Lytechinus pictus: one gene and its partner. The protein of the gene in region 1 interacts with the protein of each later gene in a biochemical or structural test. Links are inferred from orthologs where the notes say so. Each region holds a gene or a part of one and is shown on either strand. Other genes may lie near its edges.

Region 1 (10,220 bases):
CATTACATCCACTGAGGTGACGTGACGTCACTCGCTGCTTATAAGTTGTGTAATCGGGAAGTTTCCTTGAGGTATGCACTAGGGTGTAGGCGTTGATTGCATGAAACGCTTGCTGTATTTTTCACAGATTTTTCTATAATTATGTAGACGGATCAGAGCTGCAGCAAGCATTGTGCATTAATCATTAAACATGGATGCAGACTCTTAACGGTGAATCTACATCTATAGACTATATTGCCTACTCTATCTTAATAAATAACATTTCAACTTCGCTTTGAAACTATATTTTTCCCTCAGCTCTGCATGCTTCAGGCAAAATACAACCCCTTGGGAACACCATAGGGGAAATGAAATGTTACATGTATTCAAACTCTAAGAAGGCAGTATCTGTATTTCTGTATACTTACAGATTCGTCATCGCTACCGCTACCGTCACTTCCTGATTTGCATGCACCGGCTCCTGGTTTCTTTGGTTCCTGAAAGTCAGCCATAGAGTCATTACTACTTTCATCCTCTGTCATTGTCTCCATTGGTTCATCATCATCTCCATCCTGATTGGCTGACGCTCCATGCATATCATTAGCTTCTGGCCTCTGGTTGGTTGCTGTGCTTTGAGGGTCAGTGCTATTTGATAGCTGCACTCCATCATTATTTGAACTTTGACCTCTAAGAGCATCGGAGGAGCTCTGACCTTGAGGAACATCAGATAACCTTTGACCCCCATCAACAATGGATGAGGATCTATTACCATCTCTCTCCAAAGTTCCTTGAGAAGCTGAAGCTATTCGTGTCTGTGATTGGTCAGAAGTTCTTGGCTCATTTGCATGTGCATTTGAGCTGGCAGCTGATTGGCTAGTTCTGAAAGTTTGCAGGCCACTGGGCCCAGGAATATCTACATCAGGCACTCTGTCTTGTCTGGATTCAACTGGATTTAACCGGCTCTCACTTCTCTGGTGAGGAAGCATCAGAAGTGATTCGCTGTCTGATTGCGACCCTTGACCTTGATCTTGAGTAGGGTCAGCGGGATGGGATGAATCACGTCCCTCTTCCTGCCCAAGTCTTGTCGGTGATAAACCTCCCTCTTGTTCCTGCATGGGTAACAAATAATATAAGAGGACCGCTTTCACAAAGATAATGCACGTACAGTGTAAACATATGTTAACCAATGGGGGATCAGAGATTTCATAAATGAGGGAGTACAAACAGCATTTCAGAATTCCTTGACAAGCAACAACAACAAAAATCATATTTTCCTTCACAAAAAAGGCAAAATCTGCTTGTTGTTCCCAAAATTCTGACAACATTTAAAGGCACTGATGAAAGGGGTGAGACAATGCCAATTTTGGCAAGAACCATTACATGTACCTCTAAAATTTGTCAAATTTGAGTCAAGAGAAATCTCAGAAAATGGCTATAACAGAACCAGAAGATTTGTTTTCACACAGAAATGTGTGTCTTTGATGTAGTTTATTCCACAGAATATATATTAGCATATATGTCCAACCTTGGCCCTAGTAGAGTACCTTTCAAAAAAAAATCAGTGATTACCGTACTGTGATTGTGAACCATTAGACTTAGAGATTGACAAGGCTCTACATACATGTACAGTTGAGGCCAGAAATTTACATACACTCAGAAAATTTCAAAGAAAAGTTGACACTTGCCAAACATAAAATGACTTTATCTTATAAAATATTTGTGCTATCATGACGAATTTGAATTGAACAAATGAGTATGTCATGCCCCTTCATTGCACTGCTTTGTCATCAGGAGCTGAATAATATTTAGGTGTCATTTTTTCCCCGAAATTTTTCATATTTTAGACAAATTAGAAATAAAAACTTGATAAAAACATTTCATATTTGTGCTTCTAACTTCTCAACACAAACTTTTTTGTTCAGTGGTGACAGATAGAAAATGTAATATCAAGCATATATTTGACATTTATATATTTCTATGAAACAATGTTTGAAAATATAATAATAGAATACATTTGGCATGAATATTACTTTTTTTCTTCAAAGGAAATTTCACTTAAAATATACTTAAATCCCAACAGCATCCCAATCATGTGAAAGAGCTTAATACGCTCTTTCATTTGATACGAAATTCGTCATGGCAGTATTTATATTTTTGAAGATAGTAAAGTTTACGATGTTTGGCAAGCGAACAAATTTCACTGAATTCCATGTCAAAATCTGCAACATTGGATAAGCTTCATCAGATGAATGGGTTTTTTTTTTTTAGTTTCTCTTTTAAGCATTTCAAGGGCAACTCCACATCACCTACTGGCCAGCTCCGGTGTAATTCTTTCCCTGCTTTGCAAGGAGTGCCATTTTTGCGTCCCCCCCTTCTCTCTCTCTTTCTCTCTTAATTCACTCTCTCCGTATATTTTTTTTTCTTTCAATATTGAAAATGTTATGCAAACCTGATGGTGTTCATGATCCTGTGATATTTCTGTAGCATCTGAATCATATAGATCTTGATCACTTTCGATGAGGATGGTCGAACCATTATCATCTTCATCAGAATCACCGTGATCCATTGGTCATCAATCAATCATAACCTGTATTAAAGAGAAGATCAAATGTAAAATTAAACGGATGCACATGCACAAGAAACAAAGTCTTTGGTTCGTTCTGCACGACATTAAGATGGGGAATTCCCTTTGTCTTTCGAGCTCTGCAAAAAAACAATTATTTTGGGGGCTTCCTTTAACTTAGTCTTAGAAGTTAGGCTCTAGCACTCATTCAATGAACAAGGTTATGGCCATATGGGCTCTACTCTGTACTAGATCTACCCAATTAAATCTGCAACATTGGATAAGCTTTATAATTAAATTAAGTTTAAGACTGCATCACCACTGGCACTGTCATGACCAGTAGAGGCGCACGGCCAATATGGGAGACTCTCTCCAATAGGGGAGACAATCTCCCACATTGGAGACTTGCTTTGCAAAAGGACAAAAGAAACAACACCAACAAAAGCATGATTTTTTCCACCCAAAATTTTGTCTCACTGGGGTCAGAAGCCCATTTGTTTTGTGTGTGATTGACAACAAAAATCCTTATCAAAACAAAAGTAGACAGTGAATTTTTAAAGTAGACGGTGTCGGTGAAAAGGGGTAATTTTTCATGAAGAATCTGCTTATCACATTTTTATTTGCCGCCAAGGTAATCCTTTTGCAGCAAATGTAAACAAAGGAAATTGGACTCCAAAACACTCTAGGCGACACCCCAATACTTACCCGTGCTAATAAACTGGGACTCCACTCACGCGCGTTTGGGCCTCCCTAGCTTAGAACTAAGCACTAATATCACCTTAAAAACTAAATCTACAAGGTATGTATAATCTATTTACAACTTTAATAATGTTTAATCGGTACTCACCGGTTCTTTTGTTGCATTTTCAGACCATTTCTCACAATTCTTCGTAAATATTTGCGGCAAATTTTGTCGCCATAGACAGCTTAGCATCCATCTTTATTGATAAATGGAGCGCCCTTTACGATAGTTGTTAATGCCGCGGAGAAATCGTTAGGCATTTTGGCCTGTGTTCAAGGCGTTCTTTCTGTTTTATTTTTTATATTGAAGATTGTGCATTTGTTGAATAGCGCCGTCTACGTCAGGTATGAGATCGAGTGTATAAATACACTCTTCCAAAATAATTATGATTCCGACCTGGCGCTGTTTAACTTCAATCTCTTTCACCTAAATTAGCGATGAATGCTAGCATTATAAAATATATATTATTAACGTCTGACGAAAAGAATAACCAACCGATCAGCTGACGAGAACGCGAATCACGTGATCTTCATATCAGCTTCGATCGCGAGTCAGAAGAGAAGAGCAGCTGCCCAGAAAATCAGGAAAAAGCCGTGAAAATGTAAGTTCCCCTTCATTTCTTTCATTTTTTTTTTTTTGCTAACGATGCATTTACACTATAAAATTATAATTTAAATAAGAGAAAGGAATATAGCTTGTACTTGTGATATAATAATATAAATATCCTGTTCTCAGAGATTTCTAACCAAAAATACTACTGATGTCGCCTATGAGGTCCATACATGTAATGTTGGACCTCATTGGTACTAGGAGTGCTCCAAAACTGGAGACTGTCTCTAAAAATTGGATAGGCCTACCAAAATTCTTTACAAAAGTCTCTGATATTGGAGATAATCTGCCACATTACTCATTAGAGATAGTCTCCAATATTGGCCGTGCGCCTCTACTGATGACTGTGGTCCATACGATGGGCGTATGCCTCTGGAGTCTTGATACTCAGACTCCCACGGCTCCTTCTAGTTCTAAGACTAAGTTCTTGTTTAACTTAAACAAGGACAAAGACAAAGTATAACTTTTCGTTTCCAGGCCAGGCAGTGCTACTGCCGTACTGCTAGTTTTGAGCATTGCATTTGTCCCCTGTCCCTCTGCATGTTTGGTCTCTCTTACTAGTTGATTGTTCCACTGCACTCAGCTCCAATGGCTTAATTTTTTTTTTATTGAAGACTCTTCCAAACAGACGGCTGCCAGCTCTCGAACGTCTCCAGCTCCGCTCCGCGATGGGGCACCAGCGCCAGCATAGCGCTCGCTAAGCTAGCGCCACTGCCCCCGGCCCGGCCTGGGAGAGGAAGCCAAAGGCGAGGTCAGTGCCAGACGGGCCAGAGCCGAAGCAGGGCACTGGCAGAGACAGAGTGCCGAGACAAAGTCAAAATCAGACCATCATTCAAAATTAAGATTTCAAATTGGTTTTATGTTTCAACACCAGCTTCAAAATACTTCCGTATCAAAAACACACTGTGCCTAATTCACATATGTATTCACTTTTTAAGATAAAAAAATAGTAATAATCTAACTTACTGTAATCCTAAATTAACACGAAATGATGCAGAGAAGATGCGATTTCATAATCAGGCGCGCGCTCGATAATAGAGGGCGCGCGCAGTGCTTCCACTTTTCAAAACGAAACTCACAGTGGAATTTTATAATTTACTAAATATCCTGTAATTTTACAAATGGGCCCCAGTCTTCCATAAGATGTTATGTCAGTGGCAGCATCGAGATTTTAAACTAGGGGGGGACAAAGGCAGACATGATTTTTTTTTGTCTGTGATGTTCCCAAAATCGAGCGCGAAGCGCGAGTTAAAATTTCAAAATCATAGTCCCTACTGACTTGAAAAGGGACCTGACCGATTGAGATTATAGGTATCTCCCCAAATAAGTAATGCGAGCGTGAAGCGCGAGCTGAATATCGTGAGATGATAAATATATCGGGAAGGTCAGTCAGAGAGCATATAACATTCTAGACAAGGTCATTATGCTGATCATATATTCAGGAAGTGTCGATCAATATAACCAGTCACCGACAGGAAAAAGTGATCACTGCAGCCTCCTTGTTGATGTTTCATCTTCGAGATAGGCTGCAGAGCCCTTTGAAGATTAAAGCAGATGATGAAACTTTAATCACTTTTTTATATAGGAAGGGTACTATAGTTATTGATGCGAGGCGTAGCGCGAGAGTTTTTTTAAAAATATTTTTTTAATTTTTATCACTTTTTTGTAAGCAGGATGCGTATCTCACTAAAACAAATAATGAAAACTTGAATCACATGAAGAATAATTTGTGCATATTGCGCTTAAACACTGGCCTTTTTAGCCCCTTTGTTATCCAATTAAACAGATTTTATTAACCAATGCACCGCCACTGCGTGCACGAAGCGCCAGCTAAATTTTGAATGTTGTATGACTCGAAAGATTTGTGCTAACAGTGACTGCATGGATGAGAAAATTTGTAAAATTTTATGAGTGAAAATGTTGTATTGAGGTATGCCTACTTTAAAACAGCTTGAGTAGGATGCTTATTCAGCTTAATTCAGTTATATTTTTTTAAGTTTTCAAAAAATTTCAAAATTATTGCTGCCTCCACTGTGTTATGTTTCTCTTCCATACGCATAAAAAATATTATAAATATATGCAACTGCCAGTACAAGTCCTCAGCAACACGTAGGCCTACGTTACACAATCATGAATTACACAAGTCTTCAATAGGCCTACTGTGGGCGTCGTATTCTAGTGGTTACGACACTCGACTTATAAGGATGTGTGGCCTGACGAGTGGGTTCGAATCCCAGCCTGTGGCGTGTTTTCCTTTAGCAAGAAATTTACCCAGCACATTGTGCTGCACTCGACCCAGGTGAGGTGAATGGGTACCCGGTAGGATTTATTCCTAACTTGAATGCTTTAGCGCCTATATAGGCCCGTGGCGGCTCAGCTACTGTACAGCCGGGGTCATAATATACCAAGAATCAAGATCAGTATATGCAATTATAATAGCTGCGCTATATAAATGGACCATTATATTGTCTACTATAGCTGACTGCCCTATCAGCAACCCACATAAGAAGCCAATTTATAGTCGATCCTTAGCTTTATCTTTTTTAAGTAAAACATGCATAATACATTAATATTATATTACGATACGGATGATGATGATCATCATTATAGTGATAATAATAATAATTGTAGTAATGATGATTATCACGGTGATCTTAATCATATTTGGGTGTTTCCATAATTAAGGGACTCATCCATACCCGGGGGGGGGGGGCCACTTCCATTGACGAGTGGATACCATGCGCGACCATGGGGTCTCGAAAAGCACACTAAACACGTATTTTCCAAATTCTGAAAATGCACCCCTTAACAAGTATTGGCGTCTGAAACCCTACCCTTAACAAGTATTGGAAACAAAACGATACTCTTGGCAAGTATTCCCTGAAATGAATCCCTAAACAAGTATACAGCGATATTTGATTGTTATGTCACGAGTCCATCGGTCGTCGGTTTTACCTTTACAGTTTACACACCATTTGGTTTAGTACGGCCCCAGCTTCCACACCTCGCGCAAATCGGACTCTAAACACGTAGTGTTGGGGCAAAAAGGACATCCTTTATAAAACATTTTAATTTTGTTTTATCATTCCCCCAAATATGACCTTAAACACGTAGCTTTCCTAGCGAAATAGATACCCTTTTTTCATTATTTTTGTGTTTTTGACACCCTTATCACGTTACGTACGTAACGTACCCTATCTTGAAAAAGACATCCTTTTTACGTGTTTTTTTGGTCGCGCATGGTATCCACTCGTCAATGTAAGTGGCCCCCCCGGGCATCCATATGGGTATCGATCACGATCGAGGAGTGCATGGGGTTAGTACTCCCCTATAAGGCTTCAGGTGGGGGGTGGCATGTGTTCTCATCCCCCCATAAAAAAAAAATTGCGGTCGAACATAATTATGCATAATATATTGCTGTACAAAAAAAAACCATTTAGGGGTGGTTTTTTTCAGTTTTAGACGTGGGCCATGCGTGCACTCGTTACGGGTATCAAAAACACCGATTTTTTTTAAAGGTGGTTTTGAAAGACTTGTCAATAATCAATCGCGTCAAACGTATTTAAGGTATTTTCCAAAGCTACGTTTTTTTTTAGACTAGCCAAACGTGTTTAGGGTATGTTTTTCCCCAAGCTTTTTCCCCCGCTTTTCCCCGGGTCTTTTTCCTCCTCGTTTCTGAAAAGTGTTCGTGACGGTCTTCCCGGGACACGGGAAAACGGTCATGAAATTTGTCACCTCTCTGTCCACGCGGCAATTTGTTTTATAACTAGGGGCCAAAATAAAATCCCGCGAAAAACTTGATTAGGGGGTTAACTTGCACACAGAGAAAAAAAACTCGTTTAGGAGGTGTTTGGAAATAATTTGGTCACGCAGGTGTACAGCAATACATTTGACTGCCACCCCCCCCCCCCCGGGCGAACATCATAATGATTACTATGAATCATATTACAAGTATATATGATCGTGATACAAGGAATACAATACTGACGGAGCGTAATGGTAATATCGATCGTCGTATAATACGCATGATACGACCTTCATTTTGTTTTTTTTTCTCTCTAAAATTTCCTATGTAGGCCTATATTCAATTCAATTCTTTTATTTCATTTCCATTCAAAACATAATACAAAGTAATATAAAGTAATACAAATCAAGTACAATTTTACAGAAGGGCATTCTTACTTCGTAAAAAAACACAGAAAAAACAGTATAATATAGAGCATAAATGGAAATGAGGGGATCCACTAAAAAGCAAAGCTTGTAAAGTGTGGATTCCCCTTGGAAATGAAGAAAGTATAGTAGACTTATTCTTATATGCGTACATATATGTATTACAGGAAATAAAAAGAGAACAAAAGAAATCATACGGATGCAAATATGATTACTGAACAAATGCAAAGCTTTTCACACAATATTGTAATTGAATGAAACAATTCCTTTGAAATATAGTTTTAGAAACAGATAGGCCTCGAGGGGAAAATATCCAGGATGAAATAGAACTTAGCGGCCCGAATTCACAAAGGTGGTTTTGAAAACCCACGGTTGAGTCCATGGTTTATGTAGATTTCCTGTATAAATTACGCTTAATTTAGCGCGTATCTGGCGCGTGTATAAAAAATGTCCAATTCCGATGCGCGCTTTTGTCACAGTGCGCCAAATTGACGCCTGTTACCATGGTTAGATACGCTATTTTATTCATGAGTCCACTGTTTTTATTCATGAGTCCACTCTTCAAACAGTGGACTCATGAATAAAATAGCGTATCTAACCATGGTAACAGGCGTCAATTTGGCGCACTGTGACAAAAGCGCGCATCGGAATTGGACATTTTTTATACACGCGCCCGATACGCGCTAAATTGAGCGTAATTTATACAGGAAATCTACATAAACCATGGACTCAACCGTGGGTTTTCAAAACCACCTTTGTGAATTCGGGCCAGCATGTTCATGTTTATCTTACCCCTCCCAGCAGCCAACAACACGAGTTGGGTGTGCCCCTAATAAAAAAAAAATGAAGTGACATAATAATTATGTCACTTCATTTTTTGTTATCATTCTTTATCCCGGTTTATGATGTAAAATAAGTCTGAGGAGAACATAGGCCTATAAAAGAAATGACAGTTTAAAAGATTGTATAAATGGGTAATAACGCGGCTGAACTTCCTATAAATGGTTCATTTTCAGGAAATAAAAAACAGTTCGCGCTTACATTTGTACGTAGTATCTATAGTCTGGCTGTAGAATAAATCTATAACTCCTATAAGGACCCCCCGCTGGCGTATAGATGTGAGGCTTAATGGGGACCATGGAAGAAAAGGGTGAAATTGTGTACATATATATGTATATATGTATATAAATATATATATATATATTTATATATATATTTATATATATATATATATATATATAAATGGGTAATACCGCTGAACTTCCTAAATGGTTCATTTTCAGGAAATTGAAAAAAAAACAGTTCGCGCTTACATATAGATACTACGTACAAATGTGAGCGCGAACTGTTTTAATTTCCTGAAAATGAACCATATAGGAAGTTCAGCGTTATTACCCATTTATACATAAATATTATATATATTGAATTGAAAATGACCATATATATATATATATATATATATATATATATATATATATATATATATATATATATACGGCATTTACTAAATATTTGTAATTACTCTCTCTCTCTCTCTCTCTCTCTGTATATATATGTGTGTGTGTTTTTTTAATATGGCAAAATCTAGTTCATAATTAGATTTTTGTATTAAAAGGTCTTTAAAAAAAAACTCAAAGAAAACAGGGGGGAAATGGGGCAGTACCCCCCCCCCCCCCCGAAATTATGAAAAATGTTTGTTTTACTGAAAATTTTCACAAAAATGAATTAAAAGTGTTTAATAAATCCTTCAATTTCACTTGAGAAAATGCAAAAGCGCCCCAAAGGCAAGCTCGGTCGATACACTTCCTAATTGTTTTTGAGGTTCTTCAAATTTTTACGCGTCTTGCCCCCCCCCCCCCCCAAACAAATTCTGAGTATGGCCATGGCGAGTTCCCGGCCACCCCAACCAACCATGAACACCGATCGTCACCCATATGGTCCCCGCATAACAATCAAAGAAATTGTCAGGTGGTATGTTTACTTATATACAGAACCGAGATGGCAGGTATTATATGCTGGCCCTATTAATTGGCTACACTCAGTTCAATTCAATTCAATCATGGTTTATTTCGTATAAAAACAATACATGTTACACAGCCAGAAGGCTGAAATTAGCATGTTTACAATAAAACATTCACAAGTCACGGATAAAAGCAA
Region 2 (10,020 bases), on another chromosome or scaffold:
AAGATTTTAAATGTCAGGCACTCAATTTATTACATGTTATGCAGGGAATGTTGGGATAGTTTATAAGAGCTGAAGTGGCTACCCTTGGTATATAAGAATTATTATGTATCAGACATTTGAGTTGGTCATTTACAACAGTGTATTGCCCTAGATTTTGTGAATATCAGGAAGGGATAGGTATACGTATTTTGCTCAGTTTCTATGCCCTTATTGACTTTGCATGCAGAGACGACACAAAATGTACCTTTTTATTTTCCCTGGTCTCCTATTCGGGCATATGAGGATGCATAGAAAGAGATTATACACTTTGTAATGATCCGCGCAGCAACAATAAAGTCAACACTGGATCCGGACGCTGGATATGCATCCTTTTACCCTAGGGACGCGATCTTATAATTGCAAGTACGTCATAATGGTAAAGTGCAGAGCCTTAAGCCCCTGACATAAACATGACACAAAAGAACCATACTCTTAAAAGAAATTTCTCAATTTTCATGAATTGTTCTCTCGATGTCCGATTAATAGATGATAATAAAAATATGGATTCTCTATTCTTTCAGGGAACATCAAATATATTGCAATTAAAAGAACCACATTGCCCTCAACTATAGACTCAAGTCAATATTATTATATTGTGGGCCATATATTTGATATTCCCCTCAAAGCCAGTCATATTATATAATTATTTATACCTTAGTCTGTGATGATCCAACTCCTGGTGAGTTAAATCCTCCTGGTGTGTTGAATCCTCCTGGGGAATTAAATCCACCTCCACCCATTCCACCATGGTCATTACCATATCCATCAAAACCTGACAAAAAAAGTAAAAGACAAAATAATTACAAATTGTGGAACATTTTGTTGGATTAGTCTTCACACTTTGAGACAGAGGGTCATGGGTTTGAATCCCAGCAATGAGGTAATTTCTTCAGCAAGAAATTGATCCACAATGTGCCGCATTCAACCTAGGTGAGTAAAATGGGTAGACAGGAATTCCTCAAAAAGCTGTTCACCTGGATTTTGTAGATAAAATGTAGCTTAGCTGGGGTAACATACAACTACTAGTGTCATGTGACAAGGAGGATTATTACTAGGTACTACAGCTATTATTGGAGTAGAGGTTTACAATTTTTGTGCATTCAGAATTTACATGATTTATGATGAGCAGCCAAGAGCTGAAACATTCATGTTCACAACAGTCAACAGGTAATAATTATTCTTCAATCTAAAGCTTATCCACATCGTTGCATAGAGGTCATTCTCAGAAGAGCTTTGCTCCCTTTGCCAGAACACTTGTCTACCAGAGCGTGTGTGTGTGTGTGCATTTGAGTTTTGTCAGACATGTATCTATCAGATATGATTATTTGCGTCTGGGACCGACCTTAACGTCACCATCCGAAAGACGTGACCAGGGCTCAAACCTCGAACCTATGCATCAATTTGTAACTAATTTGTAGCTTGGATTACAGGCACACGCAACAACGCCCAGTTGAGCTTCTTCCCAGATTCAATAAGACTTAAGAACTCTCTCCCTTTTCACTATTCTGGCGTGCTGTTTCCCCTATCAAGAGGGGGATTCAAGCAGCAGACTCTAATCAAAGAGGGTGAGGTAGCCAGTAGAGGCGTGGTCAGAAAATTGGGATCGTCCCAGTTTACAGGGGAAAATAGATAGTGAACTGTGGGGAATTGAGGTCACTTGACGTAATCTATTTTTACTGACGCGCGTGTCTGTAAAGTTGGGGAAGAACAATATAGGAAACAAGATGGCGGCGTAAACATCGGGCGAGTCTCCCCCGACTTTTCATTTTTTTAAGCATACGTTAGTAAATGATTTTAATCTCTAGAAGCCTCCTGGCTTTGTGTAGCAAACCGCGCGATTTGTGTACTGTCGCCAAGCGAAAGACAATGAAATCAAGAAGGCGACGTAAACACGGTGGCAAGTTTTCTGTCTTTTATTACATTTTTCTTGTTTTTTGTCTTGAATTGTTTAAAAATGAAATCAATATCGTAGAAATGTCGGAAATGAAGTTGTATCCCATGTACATGACTTAGGGCTAACTTGATCTTTTAGAAGGAAAGTAGAAATCTCGGGGGCATACGTTAGTAAATCATTTGGCCATTCCGTGCTTTTGGGAACTGGTCACCAAATCGAATTTGTACCTCCTTTTACCACGACATGTAAAGAAACTTCGCTTCAGCGATTTTGAAAAGAATTGATGCGAGAGGCTTTGTTGACGATGCGAAGCTCCTCACACAACTGGTAACCTCTTTCCTCATGCGATATTTATCGGGCTCAGTTACCCATGGGTGGACAAGTTTTCAGATGACATCGATGATTCCGCTGAATTATAATTTTTGTAATTATATCCATCTACCCCGCATTTCCCTGCTCTTCAAGACCACTCTGCCACTTTCACAATGTTGAAAAAAAATGATTACAAAATTGATTTACTAAAAATCACAAACAAGATATATATGGGGATGAATCACTTTAATAAACTCTATATCTACTCGTGAAAATGGGAACCAGCAAAATGGGAACCAGCATAGCTGGTTCCCATTTTCACGAGTAGATAAAGACAGTTTACTAGTAATCTGTATTTATCTACTCGCTGAAATGGGAACCAGCGTGTACAACTCTATGGAGAATTTTTCACGCTGGTTCCCATTTTGGCAAGTAGATTAAACTAGTTTACTCTACTCGCTGAAATGGGAACTAGCGTGTACAACTCTATGGAAAATTCCCCATAGCGTTGTACGCACTGGTTCCCATTTCAGCAAGTAGAGTAAACTAGTTTAATCTACACTTTAAAATGGGAACCATCTAAGAAAATTCTCCTGAATTATACATGCTGGTTTCCATTTTCACGAGTAGATAAAGACAGTTTATTAGTCAGATTTATTTCGTCAGAATCATCACTGACGAAATAAATCTCATTGGCAATCTCTCTTTATATATTATCTACTCTTCAAAATGGGAACCATCTAAGAAAATTCTCCTGAATTATACATGCTGGTTCCCATTTTCACGAGTAGATAAAGACAGTTTATTAGTCAGATTTATTTCGTCAGAGAATCATCACTAACGAAATAAATATCACTAGTAATCTGTCTTTATCTACTCGCTGAAATGGGAACCAGCGTGTACAACTCTATGGAGAATTTTCCACGCTGGTTCCCATTTTGGCGAGTAGAGTAAGCTAGTTTACTCTACTCGCTAAAATGGGAACCAGCGCCTACAACTCTATGGAAAACTCCCCATAGAGTTGTACACGCTGGTTCCCATTTCAGCGAGTAAACTTGTTTACTCTACTCGCTAAAATGGGAACCAGCGTGTACAACTCTATGGGGGAGTTTTCCACGCTGGTTCCCATTTTGGCGAGTAGAGAAAAGACAGCGACGAAATCAATCTTTCTGATCTAACTAAAATAGTAAGAGTAGACTAAGTCACTAACGTTAAGCTCTTTGAAGGATTCGATTTATTTAGAATCAGCGCGCCAGCTGAGCTGCGGTGAAGCAGTGAGCAAGCTCGAAAAGATAGGTGGGTCATGTCTTGTCGTGAAAAAGTGTCCTGTGGAAATTAGGAACTGGTTCCCAATTTCACGATAATGCCAATCATTTTTACTCAGTCTCAGTCTAACGTTAAAACTCTTAAGTCTAAAGTCTAAGCTCTCTAACTAAGTCTAAGTGAGAGCACACACACTCACACACACGACTGCACATTCAAATTTCAATTGACAGACTCGATCACGAGAGGAGAGATAAGAATTAAGATATATTTCACGATAATTATGAATTAAGGCCGACGGTGTAATTACCTCCTTGGTTGTTGAACATATTCGAAGAGAAGTCTCGATCCAAATATTAATAATTATTTACAGAGAAGGAACTCTTCTTTTTCCGATTGGAAACAGTGTGGTTGCAATTTACATTCACAGAACCGTACCCGTTCACAAGTACAATTTGGAGACGGCGCGCCAGAATCTTGGTATTGACCAATCAGAGGGCTTGTTGTATATCGGGAATACATGAAGCGAGCGAAATCGGCCTGCTACGAACGCGAATCACCCACTGCATGCTTTATGCACGGCCGGTTGAGCAAGACAAGGAAGTCATGAGAAATCACCCGGGGAATCACCTCGGGATTTTGTTTGTTTGTTTTTATTTTGTTTTTTCTCCAGCGTTGGGTAAAACCATGGAGGTAGAAGCCAGTTCTTTGTATGCGTTTACTAATGACATACCGTACATTTAAGATGGATATTCATGAACAGGGGCCGCGGGGGGGGGGGGGGGGGTGCATGGGCTTCAGCCCGCCCTCCCCCATTTTTTAAATCCAAAACCGTGTACAAAAACGTAAAAATGACCATACGATTGTGATTTTTTGCATGGTCAGCCCCCCCCCCCCCCACTTTGAAAACCGTTCCGCGGCCCCTGATGAAGTAAATTTGAATAACGAAATATGGGGGGGCATAGGCCTATTACGTACGTGTAGCCTAGCTAGGGTTGAAATATCTGGTGTACTCCCCGGGGGGGGGGGGCGCTCGACCAAAAAATTGGTAGGTGTGTGCCGCGGGCGAGACAAAAACCGGGGACCTTGGAGCGGACTTATTGTAAAAAGGAGGGTCCTCGGAGCGGGCTTCGGAACTACAAATGCTTGTGAAAACGGGGGTCCTTAATTGGAACGGGTTCGCGCAGAGGCGATGGTCGGACAGCGCTCAGCGGCCGCTTTTCACCAAAATGGCAGCTCATTGTGGCGGATCAATGCGACCGGAACGGCGTAACGAAAAATATGCGAAGCTTTGTAGCGGATTTCTTTCTTCTTTTCTTTTCTCTCGATAAGAAGAAAATGCTATGCTTTTCGGAGCGGCTTTCTTATAGTTCTTTTTCTTAATAAGATGAAAATGCTATGCCCTGGAACGGAAATTTGAGTTTAAAAATGGGGGTCCCCTCCGCGGCACATACCCACTATGCATTAGTGAGTGCCCCCCCCCCCCCCCCCCCGGTGTACTCCTAGCTATTAGAAGTCTAGAATCCGGAAATCATACAATGTATAAAATTGCCCAAAATATAAATCTTGGTTTTCGTTTACAAAAAGACATATATTTTGATAGAGAGAGAGAGAGAGCGCGGGGAGGAAAGTTGTTTTGTCCAAATCTGTCACAAAATTATTATCACAAAGACAAGTGTGTGAGTGTGTGTGTGTGTTTTCCATCGATCGCTTCGCCCCTTCCAGCTTCTCAGAAATTCTGCCATGTCTGCAGATCGACCCCCTCAAAAGTTTTCGCTCATTTCACCGATGGGGCGAGATGGGCCCGGGATGGGCAAAGTGCAAGCAATAGGGGCACAGGCATGGCCCTGCAGCCTGCCGGGGTACTTACGTGCTTATTAAGCACCCAAAAAATTATTTTGGGGTGTTGCGTGTATAATTCTTCATAGGCAGCTTCCCCAGGTATTCTGGAAGCTGATATGTGAACAAAATTGAAAAATGTAACCAAAGTGACCTTGATTTTTAGTGTAGTGAAACCCCTTGTTTGTTTTTATTGTATTGTTTTCAAATTTCTCGATCGGGACCAATTTGACTTCCATTTTGTATTGAATCCTTTTTTCTTTCTTTCTTTCTTTCTTTTCAAATTTACATCAGCACCCCCAGTAAAAAAAATCGCACGGCCCTCAGGGCACATGCAAAAAAACCGCCCTGGAAAAGAAAGCCAAATAGGTAGAAAAAGTTATCTAAAGACTTTTAACTCTTACTTGCAGCTAGCTACCTTATAATAATTATTTATGTGGAGGGGGCAATATTATATAAGCACCTAAGCTGCCCTGGACGCCAAGTTTCTGAGCTACAGGTCATATTAATATGCCCACGTCGGGGTGCGCCGAAAAAAAAATGTCAAGTAAAAAAGTGGGCCGTGAGCATAGGCGTCATTGCCCAACTATTGGCACCAAAGGGGTCCCATAGCCCCGCCCCCCCCCCCCCCCGCCTCGATAAAAAGGGGGAAATCGGAGAAAGGAGAGATGATGAACGGAAGGCAAAGAATGGAAAGAGAGGAAGAAATAAAAATAAGGCCGCGGGACATGCAGGGAGAGGGTCAAATATATTTCCAATTAATATATTGAAATCGAAAGTGAGACAAAGAAGTGAGATAGAGAGAGGGAGAGAGAGGCAGAGAGAGAGGGGAGAAATTAAAGAGAAAGAGAGGAAGGGAAACGGAGAGGCGAAGAAAAGAATATGGGGGGAAAGGGGAGAGTTGTATAAAATACAGAACAGCCTAAGAGGTGGATATAGGAGGACAATGTTTGTTTTATTTGTCGTTTTATTAAACAGAGAACCCCTTTCAATTATAAAAACTGCTCGACCAAGGAGACCTGTATAAACACACATCTAAAAACATGACAAAACAATAATACATGTAATAGTAAGCCATAATAATCAATGAGAAAGAACAAAAAAAAGTAAAGGCTATTATTATTTTTTTTCATTCCTATAATTTCCAACAAAACAAGATATTTCTGATAAAAATTAGTTATGTTTTTCTATGTGATATAGATCAGTGGGTGCTATACACAAGCTAGGGTCGGCCACCGGTCAATCATGATATTTGAAATATTGGGGGGGGGGGGAGGACGGAGAAAGGGAATTAGGAAACGAACAGATAAGAAAAAAGACCTTCAAAAAGATAAATATTGTTCGCTAGAAATTAATATGAAGGCCTTTGAGGCTACCTTTTCTATGATTCAAGGATTAAGGACTATCATATAGGGGGACTATATCGATGTGTAGGAATTTAGATCTAAGTCACTATAAACAAAGTCAGTGAACAATAAAGGCCTACAACTGTACAATGAATTTGGTTCTTTCTGAACCCGAAAACAACAATAATATAGGCCATGTCACCTTTTCGGTATATCGGCCCACTTGCCGACCATGATTGGTACTTACTATACTAATTAGTACGTACTCAATAAGGCGCTCGTCCTAACCATTGGCGGCGGAAGCAAACAAATTTAGGGGGTCCACCTGAAATTTTTGAAAAAATTGACAAGCTTATTGACAAGTTTCGGATCAACAGAAATTGTATGGGGGGGGGTCCCCCACCTCAAATCTAGGGGGGACACGACCCCCGCCCCCCCCCCTTCTGCCGCCTATGGTCCTATAACCCCGGCCAAGCTCGTCTACCGATTCCGGTGCTCACAATTATTTGAGATTATTGTCTTAACTGCCAATTAACCTCACCTGGGTTGAGTACAGCACATTGTGAATACATTTCTTGTTGAAGGAAAATTACGCCATATTATAGCCATCAGGGCCCTGCGTGGGAACGATTTTTTTTACAGGAGGGGGGGGTGATGTAAATTTGAAAAGAAAGTGGAAAAAAGGTTTTGCCCCCCAAAAAAGTTTTCACTAAAATAATAAGGGGGCATTTTTGGTACATTTTTCCATGTTTACAAATCTTCAAGAATACCCGGGGGTGCTGAGTGTGAAAAATAATACACGCAGCACCACCAAGGAAACTTTTGGGGTACTAATTCACCACCCCGCTTCCCAGGGCCAGTCATAGCTAGGATTCGAACCCACGACCCCGGTGTTTCAAAGTCCGAAGACTAATCCACTAGACCACAACGCTCCACAAAAAGGACAAAGATAAGGACTCTTATGGGAAACCCTTTTTTCACCCTCGATCTCAATTGAACCCTTATCGAGATAATTACAATTTCTCATACATGTACAAAATGAAATACACATCAATATGATAAATGAACGAAAATAATTATATTGTAGGCCTATTATCGTGACAAAATTTGTACAATATAATGGATGAATAATCCATGAATACAAACAGAAATCAATTAATTTCACTTGCACGTGTAGCCCTCATCACAAAAAATAGAACAATGAGACAAAGACAACATGATCAATGAGAGCTCGAATGGCGAGCTGATCTTCGATCATTGGGTTCAGTTACTCCAGTATAAGCACTTTTTGTCATTTATCTAACTAAGTGAATAATGCGACCGCGAAGCGCCTGCTAATTTCTGAAAAGAACCGTTATGCATAAACAGGGCCGCGGAACGGTTTTCAAAGTGGGGGGGGGGGGGGGGGGGGCTGAGCCAAAAAATCACAATCATATGGTCATTTTTACGTTTTTGTACATGGTTTTGGAAAAAAGTGGGGGGCTGAAGCACCCCCAGCCCCCCGCTTCCGTGGCCCCTGCTAAATAATCTTTTAGGAGGGCAAATAAATTCAGACCTGCCCGAACATTTTGAGCATCATGTTATCCTCATAATCTAATTTACAGATGAATATTAATTAGTGCGGAGCAAGAAACCGAGCTAAAGTTTTTGTTTGTAAATTTATTATTTTAGCTTCCTTTCCATTTCCCCCACCTGGCGCAAAGATGGTGTTGGGGGCTGGGGCCATAGACCCCCACATTTTTCACGATCAAGAAAATAATAGAGAGAAGGGTGAAATGTAATATCATTTTCTGAACGTTATATCAAAATCTATCACAAAATTAGATTTTTGTCAAAAAAATGTCTTCGCTCGATTGCAACTTTTTGCCAATTTTGCACGTCTGGCGCCCCCTCAAAACTTTTGGCTCATATCATGCCAATGATATTCCCTTCATAGTCATTCCTTTTTCCTTGGCAATAGTTCTAATTCTTCCTTTATTTTTTCTTCCGCTCCCTTATTTAATGGCCAAGCTAGGGCTCTTATTTTGGGGGCGAAGTCGCCTGGGCCCCTGAGAATTTTTTTACCTGTTATTTAAATTACAGATCAGCGATATAGCTATAGATCAGGCCTAATGGGTTTTGAAAAATGAGGGGGCACAATTAACATGGCGTGAGCAAGGTCTTAAAGTCCTGAGCGAGCAAAGCGAGCGAGAAAAAAATTCAAAAGATTCAAGTTTTTCCCAGAGTTTTTCTCAATTAATGAACATATAGGCCACAATAAACAGCTAGTGATACCACTTCATTTCCATAGTGAACTATATCTAGTACATGAACATTATAGTTATCGCATTCCTTTAATACATCAAACTCAAAGAATTAAGGGAACAAATAATTAGATAAAAATCGAGGAAGAAATACTAAAAGAGCGCGCAGGATTAGGGCCCTGTTACATGAAATTTTAATAATTGATTGTAGGTTGGTATCGATCATTAATGTCATTGATTATTGCGTATGATCAATTGTAAAAATCAATCCTTTGATCAATTACTATTGACTGTGTAACAAGCCCTGATGAGGAAAGTATCGTACTTCTGTATTGTGCACTGCACTGTATCGCGTGGCCACCATTATTGGAAACCGGCGTTTATGTTTTCATTCAATGACGATCACTGCGGTGTGGCCAGCAACGAGTTGTAAGTATTGTTTGATTTGGACTTTAAAACTTTTTGTTTATATCTGCATAAGTTGATTTTGTGATTTTGTTGTGATCTTTCAATGCTTTTGAGAATGCACTGTGTGAAATATTGAATATTTGTAGGAAACCGGTATTCATATGTCTTTCTCTTCGACTTTCGTGGCGCCTTTCGCTCTTTCGCGATTGCATTGGATTGCATGCACTGCCCTGCACTAGCAGTGCCAGTAGCGCTTGCCTTGCCCTTGTACTGTGACTGTGTCTGAGCTGTGTGGCCTGACTGTACTGTGTGTGTTGCCTTTGTCGTTATGGTTGACAATATAAATAGTTTACAGTTTTTACTCTTGAGAATGATTAATGTGGAAAATGCAAGTGTGACAATTTCCGTGTTTGGTCTGTAAGGCAAGCTACTTTGTAAATGGTAAAAGTATGAAATTAGGGCATTGAATTATCATGATTATGAAATTACGAATTACCGTTCACTTCGTACAATATTACATTTACAGGGCTAACTTTACAGCAGTGCTTTATTCAGTTCAGTCAAACGCACATTTCCCTATTTCCACCTCCATTCATTTTTACAGAAGTGCGCGCATAAAAATTGACAAGCGGTTCCTGAAACCACGATTTGGCCAAAATTAGTAGATCTACCATAT

The links.
Region 2: the proteins of E3 ubiquitin-protein ligase RFWD3-like (region 1) and replication protein A 32 kDa subunit-B-like form a complex in vitro, tested with the Homo sapiens proteins (3 studies listed by BioGRID, with this or other methods). The link is inferred for Lytechinus pictus from reciprocal best matches to the Homo sapiens genes RFWD3 and RPA2.

What each region holds. Positions count from the first base shown.
Region 1 is NC_087250.1:13,546,835-13,557,054, forward strand, and holds the start of E3 ubiquitin-protein ligase RFWD3-like, read right to left. Parts: upstream 4,946-10,220; 5' UTR 4,860-4,945; intron 2,567-4,859; 5' UTR 2,546-2,566; coding exon 2,429-2,545; intron 1,089-2,428; coding exon 408-1,088; intron 1-407. UniProt on the Homo sapiens protein: E3 ubiquitin-protein ligase required for the repair of DNA interstrand cross-links (ICL) in response to DNA damage. Plays a key role in RPA-mediated DNA damage signaling and repair.
Region 2 is NC_087261.1:4,469,302-4,479,321, reverse strand, and holds the start of replication protein A 32 kDa subunit-B-like, read right to left. Parts: upstream 4,017-10,020; 5' UTR 3,838-4,016; coding exon 3,819-3,837; intron 812-3,818; coding exon 693-811; intron 1-692. UniProt on the Homo sapiens protein: As part of the heterotrimeric replication protein A complex (RPA/RP-A), binds and stabilizes single-stranded DNA intermediates that form during DNA replication or upon DNA stress.